Arabidopsis thaliana: one gene and its partners. The protein of the gene in region 1 interacts with the protein of each later gene in a pairwise test. Each region holds a gene or a part of one and is shown in the gene's direction. Other genes may lie near its edges. The genes, in order: ADT4, TY1, SLK2 and WAVH2.

Region 1 (4,185 bases):
AAAACAATTTCCAAATAGGGGTAAAATGGTCATTAAAAAATTTAAAGAGGGTAGAAATGAAAATGACAAATAGGAAAGAGTATAATTAAAAAAGGATAATGTGAAAAGGTCATTTTCAGCAATTATTCAGAAAAGAATATAAGATAATGATTCTGTCGGAAAATTCAATGTTACACTTTTTTTTTACGGAAACAAGATTTTGTTACTTTTTACGGGATGACATAGTTTGCGACTTTTACTGGAAAACAGTTTAAGTAAAAAAATCACAAATTTAGGGATTTTGGCATAAAACACACAATTTTGCGGTTTTTTGTAGTAGAAACGGATTCAATATCCAAGATCCTGAAATATGTTATCAGTCAAATACAAATCATGTATATAAATATATGCTCCCGAAATGACAGATCATAGATCACCTTCCGAGTTTCGTAAAACAGTATTCACTTTGTTAATTAATTACCAAATATTTTCACCAAAGCGAACAAATAATAGACATCGTCAAAAATGAAAATGACCAACAACTTCATAAATCATAATAAATACAAAACCATTTACTATATATGTGTCCATTATGGTCTGCGCATGCTCTCACAGCTTGGCGATTGTGTCAAAGTAAAAGAAGGTGAGCTGAACCGTGTTATTCGTGGACATATAAAATTCCACATATGAGAAAGTGAACTTTGGGCCTACTATATATTTTCGTAATCAAAATTTTTATTAATTTCTGAATTCATTTATCCTCTATATATTAAATTATTAATAGAGAATCACACTTAAAAAACAAAATTTAGTTACAGTCGTATTTACAGAAATGCCAGCTGATGTGTCAGAGCAATTCTCAATCAATTTACTTCATTGTCCCTCATTTACTAGATCATTTATAAAATTTATCATTAGTAGTACATATAAATATCTCAATAACAGAAACAATAAAAAGTAAATCCAATTAAAAGTAGTAAATAATTAAAAAAAGAAATTCCAATTAAAATAATCTAATAATTAAGCAAGTAATATTTCAGAACTTAATATAGAACTACTTTCGTTTTTATATAGAAACATAAATCATATGTTAACAAAAATATTAATATAGTACTACTTTCATTTTTCTAATCAGATATTACCAATACATTTATAAATAAAGTTTTTTCCAAAAATAATATCAATTACACTTAAGTAAATTATAAATATTCAGAAGATTCTAAAAATATAATTTTAATTTAATTTAATAAGAAAATTATAAAAATAATAACTAATATATTTATACATATTTAATAACAATCAATATACGGGCAATAATAATTTTAATGCAAAAACTAGATGGTTCAAAAAAAAAATATTACATTAAATAATACACAGGCAAATTTCAGATTTCAAATAATAAAAAATTTACTATAATATATTTATCCCACACATAGTGCGGATAAACTATCTAATTTTTCTTGAAGTAGGTAACTAAGTTTTAATTGAAAAACAAACAATTAAAAAACTATATATATATATATACATATGTATATATAATAATAGAATATTCAATACTTTTTAAGAGAAATTTTACCATCCACTGCTCAAAAGAAACACCAATGATCTTGATATTTGTAGAAAAATCTATGGACGTAACACCAACAATACAAAACCATGGTAAGAACTAAGAAGAAATGAAGAATATCGCTTTCACGTAAACCAACAATATCATATATTTCAATAAAGACAACTATTATTATAGTTTTCAGAAAGAAAAAAAAGTATAGAAATTACATGGAAGGTGGTAGGTGAAGGATTTTACCGAATTACATACGTCAAGACTAATTTTGTCAAAAACAAAACAAAATTTATTCTTGTGTGTTAGTGTGTATATAAGACCATCTCTCTTCTCCTTTATCTCTCAGCTTGAGCTTCTCTCTCAACGAAAGAACTCAAGCTTTCCAACACTATAAATCTATAATACAGCTTTTATTCTCAAATTTTGTTTGTCTTACCATCATTACCAAACCATGCAAGCCGCAACGTCGTGTGATCTCAAGTTCCGATCAACAGATCCGACGTCTAGGAACAAATGTTTCTCCCACGCGATTCCAAAGCGCGTGGCTGTTACGTGCGGTTATAGGTCGGAGTCGTTTAGCTTCCCTAACGGTGTCTCCGTGAGTCGATCTGATTGGCAAAGCTCATGTGCCATTTTATCTAGTAAAGTTGCTTCTGTTGAAAATACCGGTGGTTTAGCGGACAAAATCGCCGCCGTTAATGGTCACACGAACGGCTCTGTGAATCTTGGTCTCGTCGCCGTTGAGTCAACTAACGGAAAGTTAGCTCCTGCTCAGCCGTTGACTATTACTGATCTATCTCCGGCACCGTTGCATGGTTCTAGTCTACGTGTAGCTTACCAAGGCGTTCCCGGAGCTTACTCGGAAGCAGCTGCCGGAAAAGCTTATCCCAATTGCGACGCCATTCCTTGTGACCAGTTTGACGTTGCTTTTCAGGCGGTGGAGCTTTGGATCGCTGATCGAGCTGTGCTTCCGGTGGAGAACTCACTCGGTGGTTCGATCCATCGAAACTATGATCTTCTTCTCCGTCACCGTCTTCACATCGTTGGAGAAGTTCAGATTCCGGTCCACCATTGCCTCCTCGCACTCCCGGGAGTCCGAACTGACTGTGTTTCGCGGGTGATCTCTCACCCGCAAGCCCTAGCGCAGACGGAACACTCCCTCGACGTCCTTACACCACATGCAGCGCGTGAGGCTTTCCATGACACAGCGGCTGCTGCGGAGTATATCTCAGCTAACGACCTACATGACACGGCGGCTGTGGCGAGCGCACGCGCCGCTGAGCTTTACAACCTCCAGATATTAGCGGATGGGATTCAAGACGACCCGGGGAACGTCACTCGTTTCCTAATGTTGGCGCGTGAGCCTATAATCCCACGCACGGACCGGCCATTCAAGACTAGCATCGTCTTTGCTGCCCAAGAGCACAAAGGAACTAGCGTCCTCTTTAAAGTCCTCTCGGCTTTCGCTTTCAGAGACATTAGCCTGACCAAGATCGAGTCCCGGCCTCACCATAACCGCCCGCTTAGGGTTGTTGGTGACGGGAGCTTTGGGACGTCGAAGAACTTCGAGTACATGTTTTACGTGGATTTTGAGGCATCGATGGCTGAGCCGCGTGCACAGAACGCGCTTGCGGAGGTTCAAGAGTACACGTCGTTCCTAAGGGTGCTGGGAAGTTACCCCATGGATATGACACCATGGTCCATGACATCCACAGAAGAAGCATGACCCCATCGCCAAAAACAAACTCACCAATAAATTTATTAAATTATTCTGTTCTTTCTTTTTTTGTGAAAATTGTAGTATACATTGAAATTAAACCGTAAATGTAGAGCTCATTATTCACGTGGTGATTAGGAGAAAACAAAATTTTATTTGTCTGTTACTAGCTACCAGATATATCTTACATTCTTACTTAATAGTTATGAACATTGTGGTTTATTCGCAGAATCTTTTTGAGTTCCTTGGTTTTCTTTGGTAAATTCACTCGATTTTAACCAAGAAAAGCAAAAATGATTGGCATTACCAAAAACAAAGACATATATTTACACATATTTTTTAGAAAAATGTGATCAGTTTTGTAACTTTGTTTATCTTAACAACGTTATTAGTATTTTTACTACAAATTTCTATTAAATCATATTTTTAGTAGAGATGATCCTAATATTTTCTTCAATATCAAAAGCTTAAGACCAAATTCTTTTATGTAATTATCAGCATAATGTTGTTACTAAAACTTTCTGTTAGGACTTCATCTCAAGTTCACTAAGCTCAACCACAACATATGTATACCATTAAACAATCGCTTACATGATAAAAAAAAGTAAACCAATGAAAATGAATGTGAATAAAAATCAACTTATCATATTTAATATACAATACAAAGATTTTGTTCGAAGTTTATATAATATTCACAAAACAAGTCTCCATTATTGTAGTTGGTGATATAATTTCCAACATCATTAAAATATTTTGTGAAGATTTCCTTGAAGTTTTCACGAGTAGATACAAAAAAAAAAAGTTATGGTCACCGGTCACGTGTGAACTCAACTCAAGGGTTCAACGTTTGGTTTCTAGGTGAGTCGCAAGAAATTAGCAATATAATTTCCAAGAAACTTACATGTTGAATCTAGTAATAATTCACATG
Region 2 (3,932 bases), on another chromosome or scaffold:
GTCCTTCGAATCGTCTATCTCTCTCTCTGTCTCTGTTTCTACGGTGGATGATAGATCTTATCATCGCAGGCAAACAAATTAAGACGTGAGGCTTGTGTGTGTGATCTCTCTCGTCTTCTTCGTTGCTTTTTAAGTGAACAGAGAGAGCCGTTGTATATATGAGTCGTTCTTAGGCCAGACCAACGAATCACACCAAAGATTAGGGTGAATCCAACAAGCAGATGCAACAACACATGAATAATGAAATCTCAAAAAGGAAGAAGAAGAGAACAGAGAGGCAAACGAAGCAGACAGAAATCGAAGAAGAGAATTGAAAAAAATGCAGAGCAATTGTGTTTTTAACTTGAGAGGAGACGCGAGACGCAGGTATATAAATTTATTTGTTTGACATTCAAGTTTCCTTTTTTCCTTTTCACTTAGGGTTTGTTATAGTCCAGAGCAAACACAAACCTTAGGTTCGGTGATAATCTAGCCGTTATACACGGTTCGGGTCAAATACTTTCCATTTATTAGCTGATACGCTCCTACTAATTTTTGGTTTAGATACTGATTGTATTTTGATTGTATTACACGTTGACTTTTATTGTTTTAAAGAACAAGGCTAAGAAGAACAGATAATAAGAAAGTGGGTTCTATCCTTAAAAACCAACAAGAACCCTATCTTAAAAACCTAAGGAGTGTGGTTTCATTTATTTCTGGATTGAATCAGTTGAATAATGAAAACAATAATAGACATAAGCAGAGTGGATCCTGCAAAACATGGTAAACGAAACTTTTTTCTTCTCTTCTTTCTTGGTTTATCTTCGATTTCTTCTTCTTTTTTCCCCTCATGATCTCTTGTTCCTTCCTCAACAACCTCTTCTTCCTCTTCTCTCTGTGGCTCTTCTGCTTCTTCGTTTTCTTCCTCAGGTTTTGTCTCTTCTTTGATTTCTTCTTCTGGTTCTGTTTTCTCCTCTGTTTTCTCTTCTACTATCGGCTCTTTCATCTCCTCTTCTTCGTCCTCTTCCTCGATCTTCAGACCGGTAATTCCCTTAACTTTCTTAGGCATTGTAACAGTTAAAGTCCCATCTTCTTCATTAAACCTCGCTTTGATCTTGTCAAGAATTACAATATCTGGAATCCGAAACACTTTTTTGAATTCCTTTATTTCTGTTTCCTTTTTCCATTCCACCCACTTTACCAAAACCATCTCTTCAACCTGTTTTCTTCCGCTGATCTTAATCAGATTCCCTTCTTTGTTTATCTCGATATCGATACCATCCTTCTTAAATCCTGCATTTGGTTTTCAATCTCAATCTCTATGCTAGGTAAGAAAAAAAGGTGAATAAATATGAGAGGGAATAGAACCTTTGAGATGAAGAATGAGGAAGAAAACAGAGTTGGTTTCTCGAGAAAGTGAACGATGACCAAAAGAATCTCTGGCAACCCGAAAATCTGTAGAGGAAGAAACATCGTCTTTAGTCCGAGTGATCTTCAGACCTAATTCAAGCTCCATCTTTTTTAGTTGTGAGCTTCTTTTGATACATCTGTTTTTAGTTTTTGCTAAAGTCTCTCTCTAGTCCACACTTTTCTAGTTTTGTTTAAATTAGGCTATTTCATATCGTTTCTTTGAAGAGGCCCACAAGAACATATTCGTAACTTCCATCTTCAGGAAACTCAAAAACGGAGTCGTGAGTTTTGTCTTTTGTTACCCTCAACGGTTTTAACTGTCCCAGTTGCGTTGGCGGGAAGTAACAGCTATCTTTATAGTACTAGTTGATAATGATAACCCTTTGCGATTGCATTTACAATGAGATCTGTCATGTCATATGATTGAGCCTGAAGATTGTGAGCAAAAAGTTAAATTGAAGAGTGATCGGTGTTTGGGAACGGGCCTATAACATGTGGGCCTAGAACATGTTTGTGGGCCTATAACAAAAAAGATACGGTGTACTTGACCGTAGTGGATCATCATTGTCTTTCTAGTACCTTGTGTCATTTTCTTTCAGAGTTCGTTCTCTCTTTTTGGTCAATTCGAGTTTTTTTTCCACAAGTGTCCAACTTTTTTTGTCATCATCAACCTAACCAACCGCCAACGCCGAATCAAGAGATCGTTTGTTTTTTTCTGATTCTTTCATGGCGTCAATTTCTCTCTCTTCTTCTACGGTTCCGTCGCTGAATTCGAAAGAATCGTCAGGTGTTTCTGCTTTCGCTTCTCGTTCTATCTCGGCCGTCAAATTTCAGTTTCCGGTTCGTCGGGTTCGAACCGGAGACTTAAAGTTTCCATCTTTATCTTCAACGACTCGATGCACTCCTCGACGTGTAATCGCCTTTCTCTGCTTAAACATCTTTTTCCAAAGCTTATATTTTGTTCAATTCTAGCTTACTTAATTTTACCCTATGAATTATTGAATTCAAGCTTCAAACTTTCTTCTGATGGTAGAGCTGATGATAGCTTTCCTATTTTGAAATTTTTCTTATTTTAGTTTCTATAGCTGATTTTCTCTAGAGTTTGGAATTGATTTAAAGTGAGTGCCTTTATCTACTTCTTGATTTAGATTGAACTAAATGACAAACCATTCTTGTTCATACTTCAGATTGAAGCCAAGAAGCAGACATTTGACTCATTTGAGGATCTGCTTGTGAACTCTGATAAACCAGTTCTAGTTGACTATTATGCAACCTGGTGAGTTTGTTTTGGTGTCAAATGATAACATGTGTTAGTTGAGTGGTCATCAACCAGTTCTAGTTGACTATTATTCATCATGAATGAGTATACTTGGTCTATGTTGGGATCCAGTGTAGTCTGTTTGCTTATTATCGAGTTTATTTGTTAAACAGATGATTTGGAATCAGAATGTACTGTTTGTTTGGCAGGTGTGGTCCTTGCCAGTTCATGGTTCCAATACTCAATGAAGTGAGTGAAACCCTGAAAGACAAGATACAGGTGGTGAAGATTGATACCGAAAAATACCCCAGTATTGCTAATAAATACAAGATTGAGGCACTTCCTACTTTCATCCTATTCAAAGATGGGGAACCTTGTGATCGCTTTGTATGATGACTTCAATGCCTTTGAATTTCTTCATTTTCGTTTTAAGGTTCTTAATCTCACTCACAAACGTTTCTTTTTTTGTGATTTCCAGGAGGGTGCTTTGACGGCCAAACAACTCATTCAACGAATTGAGGATTCTCTAAAAGTGAAGCCATAGTTGGATCATGAACTCTTTTTTAATTATTTGTATGTTTTTCAACTGTCCCTGACCTATTCAGGACTTAGTGATAGCGATGTTTTTCGGTTGATTTAACTTGGAGAATTTGAGAAGAAGAAGATTATGTTTGCCAGATTTGTAAAACCTTGTTGTGAGTAATGATGATCTTTTATTCTCAAAAGTAATAACAGAGACGCTATTTTTCAAGCATTCGTCACCAGTTACATAAAGATTAAAATTCTCTTAGCAAAAGAAAACATAGCAGGAGTGTAAAGATGAATACTAAGACTCAAGGGTTAGAAGGAGAAGCAGAAGATCTAACAACGGTAGTCTTGAAATTCACGGAGAGAGGCAGTGTTGAGGAGGCAAGAGCATGGTCTTCACCATTGTTGTCAGAGTCATTGCCATCACAGTAACCTTGGAGCATATCACCTTCTTGAGCAGTAAAACCAAGAACACCAATCATAGTAGGCCAACACTTGCGTCCAATGGTTCTTATAGCACTGCAACACCCAGGGCCAATGTAAGTCTCACCGTTGAGGAAGAACAAGATCAGCTCTCCAGAACAGTGTTGGAGCTGCATCAGTGAGTCCCAGCAGTACCCTGTATCTTCATCAAGCTTGAGCCTGTACACAAGGCTTGTGGTAGGAGAAGACGTCCCCATGGATGGTTTCATGAGAGGGCGAGCTGTCACTGTGGAGGAAGCCACCATGAGCATGAGAGTCACAATGTTGAAGGTAG
Region 3 (6,403 bases), on another chromosome or scaffold:
TCAAGAAACATCTTTGAGTCTCTTTCTTTGTCTTTGTATATAATCTGCATGTCTTGATGATGAACTCCTGTCGCACCAGACAATATCTTCTTTAATTCCCCTGTTGTTAAATTCAACAACAACAACAATCAAATTCCAAAAACAGAGCATACTAATAGTATAAAGGAAATACTGTATAACTCGGAATGTTTTGTGTCGTTTACCGAAAGTAGATTGAGAGTTGATACTGATCTCGTGATGGACCGACCCGTATTTGACCCGAACCCGAATGCCACGTGGCACGCTTGAGCTATGATCCGTCCTTTTCTGTACAACCATTCCTCCAGGTCGGAGCTCCATTTCACCGTCGCCGGAAGTTGTTGTTCCGATACTCATTTTCATCATTTTCTTTATTAAGAGAGATAGAGAGAAAAAAACAGAGGAATGATGAGATGAAGTTGATTTCTGAAAAAGATCAAGAAGAAGAAGAAGAAAAAAGAAACGTCTGAGCAAAGAGAAGTAAATACACTTTGTTTTGTAATAAATTAATGTTTCTGTTTCTGGACAGAACTCGTGGAAGAAGAAGAAAGATAAGAATCATATAAAGCAGATTATTGTTTTATAAAATTTTATACAATGAGAAAAAAAAGTTAAAGAAAAGAGTGACAGCTAATGTGATTGTTGTTATGTCTCATTATCAGTCCATCACAGATACATATATTTAATATAAATGTTGTATCCCCCACATATTTATTTCTATTTCTGATAAATAATGACGATATATTAATGTCGTTGTTACATTTATATTTATTTGTCATCGTTCTTCTGTATTTTATAAGTCGTGTTCTACGTTTCTAAGTACAGGTAAGCTAATGAAATAACTGAAACAGAAACTTGTGTTACACGTCACGCCTTTAACTCCGACAAACTCTGCAACTTAAAAATCTCTCTTTCTTGCAGATCCACATTGTCTAGAATTATCGTCGGTGTTGTGTGTCTTCTTGCCAAGTTTTGAATGATCCATGGACCGTACGGACCACACACGAGCTTTCTTTGATCATTTCTTGAACAAGCTAGTGCTTTAGAGACAGAGACACCGGTTAGGTTTGACCTCAAGACTGTTCGAGAACAGAGCTTTGAACGGTTGGAGAACAGAGTATAATTATTTATGGGCTAATAATGGGCCTAAAAATACTGAAATAGGCCTGTTGGGTCGTAGCTCCATATAGTTGGATGATCTTGTCGAAATATTTTAGGGGTTGAATTGTCAAAGGGAGTAATATTGGGGTCAATAAGTAATCATGCAAAAAAGAGGATATTTGTCGTAAGCCCACTCATTTACAGCTGCAATCATTGGTACAGTTATTACAAAAAAATAAAATAAAAAACATAATTTGGTCAATCAACTTTAAACTACACGCGTCGCACACGATCCATGCTCTCAATCGAACGATCCACAATTGATTTAACTTTATTGATCGCAAGGTCAAGAATATGCCACGCAATCAAAACAGCTAAAGGTTACCAATCGGTCATACGATACTTGTTACGATAAACAAGACACGTGTCAGTATTGACTAGCGGGTAATAAAAAGTACTTGCAAAACCATAAGCAGATGGGTCACCGGCTTGTCCGGTCAGATTTGGTTCTTACGATTTCCTCTAGGTATATTAACAAAGGCGCGTCAAGTTCATTGCCTAGTTCCAGCTCTCTCCAGGATTTTCCTTTTTTTTATGCAAAAACAACAAACACAAAATAAATAAGAAGATTGTTTATTTTAACTTTATATTACAGCTTGAAATTTCCAGGCAAATTTTTTTCCTTCTTCTTCTTCTTCTTCTTGTCTCATTAATTATCTTCCTCTTCTTCTGTTTCAATTCAGCTGGGTTTAGTTTTAATTTCTAGTTGTGATCTCTCAGCTTTTGTTCTATATTGATCGAAGCTCCACTTAACAGTTCTTCGTACGTTGTTTCCGTGTTCTTCGCTTTTTTATTTTGTAATTTAATTTCGGTTGCTTTTTAAATATCTAACTCCGAGATTTTTAAGGGATTGCTATCTATTTTTTTTTTTTTTGGGGATTGGTTAGTTTCTCGGTTAGTTATGTTAAGTAACGAACTTTAAAATTAGGGTTTTGATTTGGTTTTTTTTTTATTTCAGTGGTTAAGTTCAATGTCTGTGTATCTTTAATAACGCACCAGATTCATGTGTTAGGGAATGTTATTGATCTGATTTTAATCGATACATGTATAATGTTGTAGGTATCAGTAGTAAAGGTGGGACATTTGTGTCGCATTGAGGAAGAAACTTTGGATTTCAGACTCACTTGGGACCTACCCTTTAATGGCTTCTTCAACTTCTGGGATTTTCTTTCAAGGAGATGATGAATCTCAAAGCTTCATTAACTCTCACTTGACTTCCTCTTATGGGAATTCATCTAACTCTGCTCCTGGATGTGGTGGACCTACTGGTGGCTATCACAATCTCAGTATGGTTTCTGGTGATATGCATAATCCGGTTATGATGAGTGTTTCAACACCCGGTCCAAGCGCAGGAGCTAGTTCGCTTGTCACAGATGCTAATTCAGGGCTCTCTGGAGGTGGTCCTCATTTGCAGCGTAGTGCTAGTATCAATAATGAGTCATATATGCGTTTACCGGCGTCTCCTATGTCGTTCTCTTCTAATAATATCAGCATATCTGGTTCATCAGTTGTAGATGGGTCGACTGTGGTACAACGGCATGATCCTAGTGTTCAGCTAGGTGGCTCTAGTGCTACATCACTGCCTACATCACAAACTAATCAAATCCCGCTTTCTATGGCTCGGCGTGCTTCTGAATCGTTCTTTCAGGATCCAAACAACTTAACTCAAGCACGGAAAAAACCTAGATTAGATTCAAAGCAGGATGATGCTTTGCAGCAGCAGATTTTACGTCAGTGGCTTCAGAGACAGGATATATTGCAGCAGCAGCAGCAACAACAACAACAAGGCCAAAATCCACAGTTCCAAATCTTGCTTCAGCAACAAAAGCTGAGGCAACAGCAACAATATCTCCAGTCCCTCCCACCATTGCAACGGGTTCAACTGCAGCAGCAGCAACAAGTGCAGCAACAGCAACAGTTGCAGCAGCAGCACCAACAGCAACAGCAACAGTTGCAACAACAAGGAATGCAAATGCAACTAACCGGTGGGCCAAGACCTTATGAAAATAGCGTTTGCGCTCGAAGATTGATGCAGTACCTATATCATCAGCGACAAAGGCCTTCTGTGAGTGTGCATGTAGTCGTCAAATTTTTTGTTTTATGTGTATTCTAGAAAAAAGCTCTTGACAGATACCAGTCGTGTCATTGCTGATTTTGTAGGAGAGCAGTATTGTTTACTGGAGGAAATTTGTGACGGAGTATTTTTCTCCCCGGGCAAAGAAAAGATGGTGTCTTTCTCATTATGATAATGTGGGGCATAGTGCACTTGGTGTTTCTCCTCAGGCAGCCACGGTTTGTTTCCCTGACTCTTTGTTTTTTTTGGTTTCATACTCTTTATGCTGATCTTACGGTGTAGTTACAAATAGGTTACTTATTCTTGCTTTTTGTATTTTCCATTTGCAGGATGAATGGCAGTGTGATCTATGTGGTTCTAAATCGGGAAGAGGATTTGGTAAGTTCCAATTTGCTTATACCCTGATGAAGAAGAGGGAAATTTCAAAAATGTTTATGGTAGCAAAACATCTTCTCTTAGTAACTTTTTCTTATGGATTCTGCAGAAGCAACTTTTGATGTCTTGCCAAGGCTTAACGAAATCAAATTCGCAAGTGGTGTCCTGGACGAGCTTCTTTATCTGGGTGTACCGTCTGAACGCAGATATGGATCTGGAATTATGGTGTTAGAGTATGGAAAAGCAGTTCAGGAGAGTGTGTACGAACATATCCGTGTTGTTCGCGAAGGCCATCTTCGGATTATATTCTCCCAAGAGCTGAAGGTGGTTTAAAGAGCTTTTGATTCCAAATACTTTTAATCATTAATGTGTATTAAAGTAACTTAGCTTATCCTTTTTCCTTTTGCCAGATTCTCTCATGGGAGTTCTGTACTCGTCGACATGAAGAACTACTTCCTCGTCGCCTAGTAGCTCCACAGGTAACATTAATGGTTCTTACAATCTTTGTGACTCTTTTTGAAATCCCTGGTCTTGAGATTTTTTGAATGTCTGCTCCCTATGGTCGTGCAGGTGAACCAATTGCTTCAGGTTGCAGAGAAATGTCAGAGCACAATTGATCAAAGTGGATCAGATGGGATTCATCAACAAGATTTGCAAGCTAATAGCAACATGTGAGTCTTGATGATTCTAGACAATATTTCACTCTCTTTCTTCCATATTTCTCAATCAATTCAATTTCATTGTTTCTTGCATCTTGTACGGTAATTAGGTAAGATTTTTCACTGATGCAAAGAAGATCAAAGCGATTTTAGCTTAATATATACAAATATGATGTACTGATGCCAAGTCTTTTGCTCCAGGGTCATGGCTGCTGGACGTCAACTAGCAAAAAGCTTGGAGTCACATTCACTCAATGACTTAGGCTTCTCAAAACGATATGTTCGGTGTCTGCAGGTATCTCTCTGCCTACTTTCTTGCATTTTCCTGGTGGCGTGTCTCCTTTTTACTGTTTAACTCTTGCCATCTTCTTTAAACAGATTTCTGAGGTTGTCAGCAGCATGAAAGATATGATTGACTTTTGCCGTGACCAAAAAGTGGGTCCAATCGGTAAGTTAATACATAAATCCCAGAGAGTCCCTGAGATTCATCAAAACGCTTTTTTTTTACTTGGCTGTGCTTATAAAAAGCTTTCTTGCTACCTTTTAACATTTGCAGAGGCTTTGAAGAGCTATCCATATCGAATGAAGGCTGGTAAACCTCAGATGCAGGAGATGGAGCAACTAGCGGCTGCCCGAGGGCTTCCACCTGATAGGAACAGTCTCAACAAGCTAATGGCCTTGCGCAATTCCGGGATAAACATACCAATGAACAACATGAGCGGTCAAGGATCTCTTCCCGGCTCTGCACAAGCTGCCGCTTTTGCGCTTACCAACTACCAGAGCATGCTCATGAAACAAAACCATCTGAATTCAGACCTAAACAACACCACAATCCAGCAAGAACCATCAAGAAACCGGAGTGCATCCCCGAGCTATCAAGGAACTAGTCCCTTGTTACCTGGTTTTGTGCATAGCCCATCAATAAGTGGTGTATCTTCCCATCTATCTCCTCAGCGGCAAATGCCAAGCTCCAGTTATAATGGCTCAACCCAGCAATACCACCAACAGCCACCTTCCTGTAGTAGCGGTAACCAAACATTGGAACAACAAATGATTCATCAAATATGGCAACAGATGGCAAACAGCAATGGAGGCTCCGGTCAACAACAACAGTCACTTTCTGGTCAGAACATGATGAATTGCAATACCAACATGGGAAGAAACAGAACAGATTATGTTCCCGCAGCAGCTGAAACACCAAGCACCTCCAACAGATTCAGAGGCATCAAGGGGTTAGACCAAAGCCAAAACCTGGAAGGTATTATCTCTAATACATCGCTCAACTTTGGGAATAACGGGGTTTTTAGCAATGAGGTTGATGAAAGCATGGGAGGATATTCTTGGAAGTCATGAGAGGCATTTTGATAGTTAGCTCCAATGTTGTCTTTGTAAAGAACGAGTTACTAAAGACTAACTTTCTTAGGTATATGAATCTGATGAGGGGGATTCAATGTTAACGTGTCTACTGTGTTGTTGTTCTTTCTTCTTCTTAGATTAAAGCTTCTCTTTTTATGAAGAGGTTTTTCTGGAAAGTGTTACTAATTCTGGAAAAGAAAAAAGACTGTTCTTCAGGAACTCATCGCTATCAATCAATATTTTACCTTTTTTCTTATGACTTTTTTTAAGCCTCGTTTATTTAAAGCTGATACAGTTACAAACATCGGTAACACGTCACAAACAAGCCAGACACATGCTATTTTTTTCTCTGAAATTTTAATAAAATGTATTTGTGACGTGATTTTAAATCATACAAAATTCCACAAATACGGATATGTAATCTTCATCTACTTGCACTAATACAGTAATACTTTTCATCTTCAATATACCAACCATCCTACTATCTACAAGAGATAATTTGTCAACTCCTTTTACCATAGTTAATTTCATATATTACATAATTTTGTATATGAAATATTTTTGCTTTGCACTAAAGAATAAAATAAATAAATAAAAAAACCTTGCACTCAGCGTGGTGGATAGAGAACAGAGTGATTTACTTTCACATGTAAATCTTGTGAACTAACTAGACCATGTGACCATGCCAAACGTCTCCTCAACTCATCTAATTAATCACTCAAAATATACACTCAAAACATTATATAAATGATAAATCTAA
Region 4 (5,392 bases), on another chromosome or scaffold:
GCACAGACCAACCAATGATCATTGGCAAGCTGCAAAACGAGTTCTTAGATATTTGGCTGGAACTACGACTCACGACATTTTCTTTGCTGCTCAAAACGAGCTCTCCCTTCATGCCTTTTCAGATGCAGATTGGGCCGGAGACTCAGAAGATTGCGTTTCAACAAATGCTTACATCGTTTACCTCGGGAAAAATCCAATCTCATGGACTGCCAAGAAACAAAAGAGCGTTGCAAGGTCTTCAACAGAAGCTGAATATCGATCGGTGGCAAATACTGCTTGTGAAATCCAGTGGATATGCAGCCTTCTCACGGAGCTTGGGATCACACTTCCCAAACCGCCTGTGGTCTATTGTGATAATGTGGGTGCTACTTTCCTTTGCGCAAACCCGGTTTTCCATTCCAGGATGAAGCACATAGCCATAGACTATCACTTTATTCGTGGACAAGTTCAGCAAGGCATTCTTCGTGTGGCTCACGTCAACACTAGAGACCAACTCGCTGATGCATTAACAAAACCGCTTCCTCGAAATCACTTCACGGAACTTCGAGACAAGATTGGAGTGTGCATAGCCCCTCCATCTTGAGGGGGCGTGTTAAGGATACATAGGATCATCTCTCTTTAATATCATAATATTCCTCTGTCTCCTTTATGGAACATTCTATATTTGTACAACCCTAGTGTAACCTCCTCTGTACTTGTATATATACTTGTGTAAAGCTATTCGTATAATATAAGTCATTACATTCTTAACAAGATTAACTAACTAATATTTTCATTTTTTGGTTGATAATCAATGATTCCATGGCATGCACGCACGAAGTCATGTGTTGTCTCTACAATGGCAGCCACTTAAAAAACCTACCAAACCATTTACAAATGCTTAACTACAATTTTGTTTAGCAGCCCCCTTATCATATATGTACCCACCCATTTATTGTTTCATTCATTCATGTGGCTCTTCAGCATAACTGCAAGATACTAGAGGCCACAAATTGCAGTAATTTGTATTTTGGAGTTAATACCTTTGATTTAGGACACTAATTATCTCGAGCACTTGATCAGCCAATCTAAAAGGTTGTCAAATCAAAATAATAGAAGTGTCGAAATCAAAATCAGACCAAAACCATCAATTTTTTTGCAATAGCAAGAAGAATTCAAAATTTGCTGGACCTGGACCAGTCTAATCTTTATGTCATATCATTAGCTCTTGTCGTCACCATATATTATAAATCATTTTGTTGGTAAATAAATGAAAAAAAAAAACTTTTCGACCTTTCTCCATCAAAGACCTTTTACAAAATTCCAAACCCAAAACTTTAGGTTAAATTCCTCGCTCCAGCCAGTATGTAATTACGTAAGCAACTATCAATTAAATATACAACTCAATTCACAATCATGAAGATAACTCGAATACAACGTGTTTTAGTATCATTTATATTTCGTAAGGAAAATAAGCTTACCGTTTATTGCTCAGACTGTAACGTCACGTGCCCACATGTTTGACCTTACACTCCATCACAATCTGCATTTCGAAGAATCCGATAAGATTGGAAATGATTTATATAATCGAACCACATTGTGGAACATTCAAGAGGAATCCACATTAGACAATCTAATAAACTGTTTAATATTTTGAAAAGAAAGATTTTACATGCAAATGGAAAACAAAGATCTCCGCGTCTCAAGTTATTTGAAATCTCATTTTGCATATGGTCGGTTATTACCGTTGACTTTTAACTTTATCGTCCATCCCAATGAAACAACACTTGAAATATGTAAAAAAAATAGCAAAATTGACCCAAAAAAAAGAAGGACTTAACGGATCAGTGATTATTTTCTTCGAGGCAAAACAATTACATGCAAATGGAAACAAAAGCCAATTCACACGCATAAAAGTCACAATTTTTACCTTATAATATTCCTACAACTTAAAATAACATAAAAAAAAATGTCTTTATCGAAACATCACTAAAGAAAAAGAAATCTCTCTATAGTCTTTATCTTAGTATTTAATTTCTCCATCTTCCTTATGATCCATTATGCCCAAAGTCCTTCTTCTTCTTCTCTATAATTACTTCCACAAATAGAAGAAGAAGAAGAAGAAGAATAATATAGAAAAAAAGAGAGCTTCTCTTCTTATTTCTTTCTCACAGGAAATGGTGTTTGGTTGGAGAAAAGCGTTTTGCACTTCCGTTTCAAGTAATCAAGATAAACCTCAACAACATTCATCATTACACACTACTGATCCTCCAATTCCCACACCAAGATTCCGATCAAAGTTTGGTTTTTTATCCAACCCTTCAACTCCTCGTCTCCGATCACGCGGCGGAAGCGGCACTGGATGCCGCTCCTCAGCTTCCACATCAGTCACTATCCCATCTCTTCCAACTAGTCCCAAACTCCATTGCAGGACTACGAGCAATGCTACTCCAAGGACTAGTAACAGCTCAAGTCCCAAGTTTTTCTCTAACCCTTCTTCTCCTAAATCATCATCTTCTTCTTCCTCTCAAGGCGGCGGCGGCGTCTCTCTCCTCCGTGCCACGCTTCTTCTCAACAAGGTAGTTACTTTTGATTCAATCAAGTTCTTAATTTGAAAGACATAATCTAAAGCTCCGTTTTGTGTGTGTGTGGATGCAGAGTAATAGTAGTAGATGTGCGATTTGTTTGCAGAGAGTGAATTCAAATCAAAGCAACTCGACGGCGGCAATTTTCACGGCGGAGTGTTCACATTCGTTTCACCTTTCTTGCGTCAATGGATTAGAAGACAAGCGTTGTCCGTTTTGCTCTGCCGCATGGAATCACGCGCCAAAGTCGAATTATCCGGCTGTTAATAATAACTTCGGATCCGACCCGATTAGACGACCCGAGATCCGAGAGATCAAAACGGGGAAGTCACTGAGAGTGTACAACGACGATGAGCCGTTAGCTTATTCGCCGGTTTCTCTTGCTCAGATCAACACTATACATGAATCAGACGAAAACGACGACGTTGAAGATGACGATGACTTCCCCGGATTCTTCCGAGATTCTTCGATTACGTCTGATATGGTTCCTTCAATCTCAGGAAATCTGGAGGTTAAGTTGCTGCCGGAATCTGCCGTTGTGGAAACCGGGAAAAAGAAGGAGACACACGTCGTCATCATGAAACTAAAAGCGTCTCCGTCGCCGTCGTCCATCACCGATGCGATTAAGGCGCGAAGACCATCGATAGATCTGGTAACGGTTCTCGATTTAAGCAACGGCGGTGCTAATTTGCAAACGGTTAAACACGCGATGAGATCGGTGATCTCTCTTCTCCGAGAAATGGATCGTTTATCGATCGTCGTTTTCTCGACGGGGTCAAAACGGTTAATGCCGTTACGACGAATGACGGCGAAAGGAAGACGATCGGCGCGGCGAATGGTCGACGCACTCGGCGGAATGGAAACCACCGGCGGAGTTGGAATGAGCGTTAACGACGCGTTGAAGAAAGCGGTTAAAGTCGTTGAAGATCGGCGGGAGAAGAATCCGTCAACGAGCATCTTTGTTTTATCGGACGGTCAAGATCAACCGGAGGCAGTTTTGAAAGCTAAACTAAACGCAACGCGCATTCCGTTCGTCGTGTCTACCACGCGTTTCTCTCGTCCGGAGATCCCGGTTCATTCCGTTTACATTGCTTCTCCTGGAGCGTTGCTTCACGCGCCGCTACGAGACGCGTTCACCGAAAGAATCGCTTCGTTGCTCAACGTGACTCTCCATAACGTGAAGCTAAATCTCAGTTTGGTCAACGGATCTCATTTGACTGAGATTTCATCGGTTTACTCTTTAACCGGTCGACTCGAGAATTTCGGATCCGGTTCTGTCATCCAAGTCGGAGATTTGTTTGCGGAGGAGGAGAGAGAGTTTCTCGTTGAGCTCAAAGTGCCGACTTCGTCGAGTGGTTCCCACCAAGTAATGTCCGTACAGTCGTCGATCGTTGACCAAATGACACATCAGCCAATGACATGTCCTAAAGAAAAACGATTTTTGATCCCACGGCCACAATCCGTCAGATATGTATCTTCAAGCATCGAACGGCTGAGAAATTTACACTCCATGTGCCGCGCTGTAGCGGATTCACGCCGGCTTATCGAGCGTGAGGATTTATCCGGAGCGTATCAGGTTCTAACGACGGCTCGGTCCAATGCGTCTCATTCGGATGATAGTTTAAGGAGTTTGGAGGTTGAGCTAAATGAACTTAGCCGGATTAAACCGAGAAATAGTATATTAAACCGAACTGAAGATAAACCGGAGCAGCTTACCCCTACTTCGGCTTGGAGAGCCGCCGAGAAATTAGCTAAAGTGGCTATTATGAGGAAGCATTTAAATCGAGTCAGCGATATGCACGGCTTGGAAAACGCCAGATTTTAATTTTAATTTCCCTTTTTTTCGAAAATTCGATTTCAATGATTTTTGAATATATAATGGTACATAATTTATATAAGGAGGATAAGCAATAATTTAGTAAGGTATAAATAATAGAAGTATGATTATTCAGAAAAAGACCCACATAGGTGCATGATAGCGACAAGCAGTAGCCGACGGGTGTGGCCTTTTGTATTGCAGAGAGATTGAGACCCTACATTAGAAGGAATTAATTGGTCTTTTAGCATTTTTATCTTCTTCTTCCTTTTTGTAATCTTCAAAAACTCCAAATTAATGACTGAATAGTTAAAAAAAGTTGTAGATCAAATAAATGAAGTCTGCTTTTTTTGTGTACTATATAGAATTAAAAGTTGAGGTATAGTGGATTAGAGAGTGTGCTTGTAATGCTGGACTTCAAAATCAAAAGTTAAGTTTATATTATCATATGCCGTTTAACTTAAGAGGATCTATAATATATTATATCTTTCCAAATGAATGATCATGATTAGTCATGTGATCATCATTATAGCCTATTTTGTTATAGAAGGCACCGGGTTTGAATGATTTGAATAGTGCGTGGGGATTGTCTTTGTTGGTTGTTGGTGAATGGTTTGGTGGGTGCACCGTGGTAGAAACCAGGTCATGCGCCGTTGCAAAGCTTTCTTCTCGCTTAAATTCATTCATTTTATATCATTAAGACATTTACTAATTATATGTAGCTAGCGCCAAGTTGCAATTTGTTTTGAATGCAATGATTTTGTATACTTTTAAAATGGATGAAATGATTAACTATTGTCAAAGGTCCACTTCTCGATGTGATTCACTAAAATGATCAGTGGCAGAAGAATCTCGAACTATATATATGGTCAAATCATAACTAAAAAAACTAAGCTATTATTTTTTCACAAAAAAAAAAACTAAGCTATCATTCATCACGCAGTTACATATTGCATATGGACAATGTTAATGTCAACTAATGAAAGGGAAAGAATCTCGAACTATATATGGT

The links.
Region 2: the proteins of ADT4 (region 1) and TY1 interact in a two-hybrid assay, tested with the Arabidopsis thaliana proteins (one large-scale study listed by BioGRID).
Region 3: the proteins of ADT4 (region 1) and SLK2 interact in a two-hybrid assay, tested with the Arabidopsis thaliana proteins (one large-scale study listed by BioGRID).
Region 4: the proteins of ADT4 (region 1) and WAVH2 interact in a two-hybrid assay, tested with the Arabidopsis thaliana proteins (one large-scale study listed by BioGRID).

The regions. Positions count from the first base shown.
Region 1 is NC_003074.8:16,269,768-16,273,952, forward strand, and holds ADT4 (arogenate dehydratase 4), read left to right. Parts: upstream 1-1,743; 5' UTR 1,744-1,991; coding exon 1,992-3,266; 3' UTR 3,267-3,646; downstream 3,647-4,185. UniProt on the Arabidopsis thaliana protein: Converts the prephenate produced from the shikimate-chorismate pathway into phenylalanine.
Region 2 is NC_003070.9:28,811,132-28,815,063, reverse strand, and holds TY1 (thioredoxin Y1), read left to right. Parts: upstream 1-1,899; 5' UTR 1,900-2,115; coding exon 2,116-2,301; exon of another isoform or gene 2,302-2,576; coding exon 2,577-2,665; intron 2,666-2,856; coding exon 2,857-3,034; intron 3,035-3,125; coding exon 3,126-3,191; 3' UTR 3,192-3,379; downstream 3,380-3,932. Other genes in the region: AT1G76770 (HSP20-like chaperones superfamily protein), read right to left, coding at 686-1,272, 1,348-1,495; EC1.1 (egg cell-secreted-like protein (DUF1278)), read right to left, coding at 3,481-3,932. UniProt on the Arabidopsis thaliana protein: Thiol-disulfide oxidoreductase that poorly activates chloroplastic malate dehydrogenase (NADP-MDH) and fructose-1,6-bisphosphatase. Provides reducing equivalents for peroxiredoxin Q.
Region 3 is NC_003076.8:24,934,458-24,940,860, reverse strand, and holds SLK2 (SEUSS-like 2), read left to right. Parts: upstream 1-1,621; 5' UTR 1,622-1,941; exon of another isoform or gene 1,942-2,238; 5' UTR 2,239-2,320; coding exon 2,321-3,244; intron 3,245-3,339; coding exon 3,340-3,471; intron 3,472-3,582; coding exon 3,583-3,631; intron 3,632-3,737; coding exon 3,738-3,952; intron 3,953-4,038; coding exon 4,039-4,107; intron 4,108-4,198; coding exon 4,199-4,299; intron 4,300-4,488; coding exon 4,489-4,582; intron 4,583-4,665; coding exon 4,666-4,735; intron 4,736-4,843; coding exon 4,844-5,640; 3' UTR 5,641-5,899; downstream 5,900-6,403. Other genes in the region: BAG2 (BCL-2-associated athanogene 2), read right to left, coding at 1-100, 204-384. UniProt on the Arabidopsis thaliana protein: Probable transcription regulator that functions in the development of the carpel margin meristem similarly to SEUSS (SEU).
Region 4 is NC_003076.8:26,259,316-26,264,707, forward strand, and holds WAVH2 (Zinc finger (C3HC4-type RING finger) family protein), read left to right. Parts: upstream 1-1,820; 5' UTR 1,821-2,156; coding exon 2,157-2,558; intron 2,559-2,637; coding exon 2,638-4,389; 3' UTR 4,390-4,855; downstream 4,856-5,392. UniProt on the Arabidopsis thaliana protein: Probable E3 ubiquitin-protein ligase involved in the regulation of root growth. Acts as a positive regulator of root gravitropism.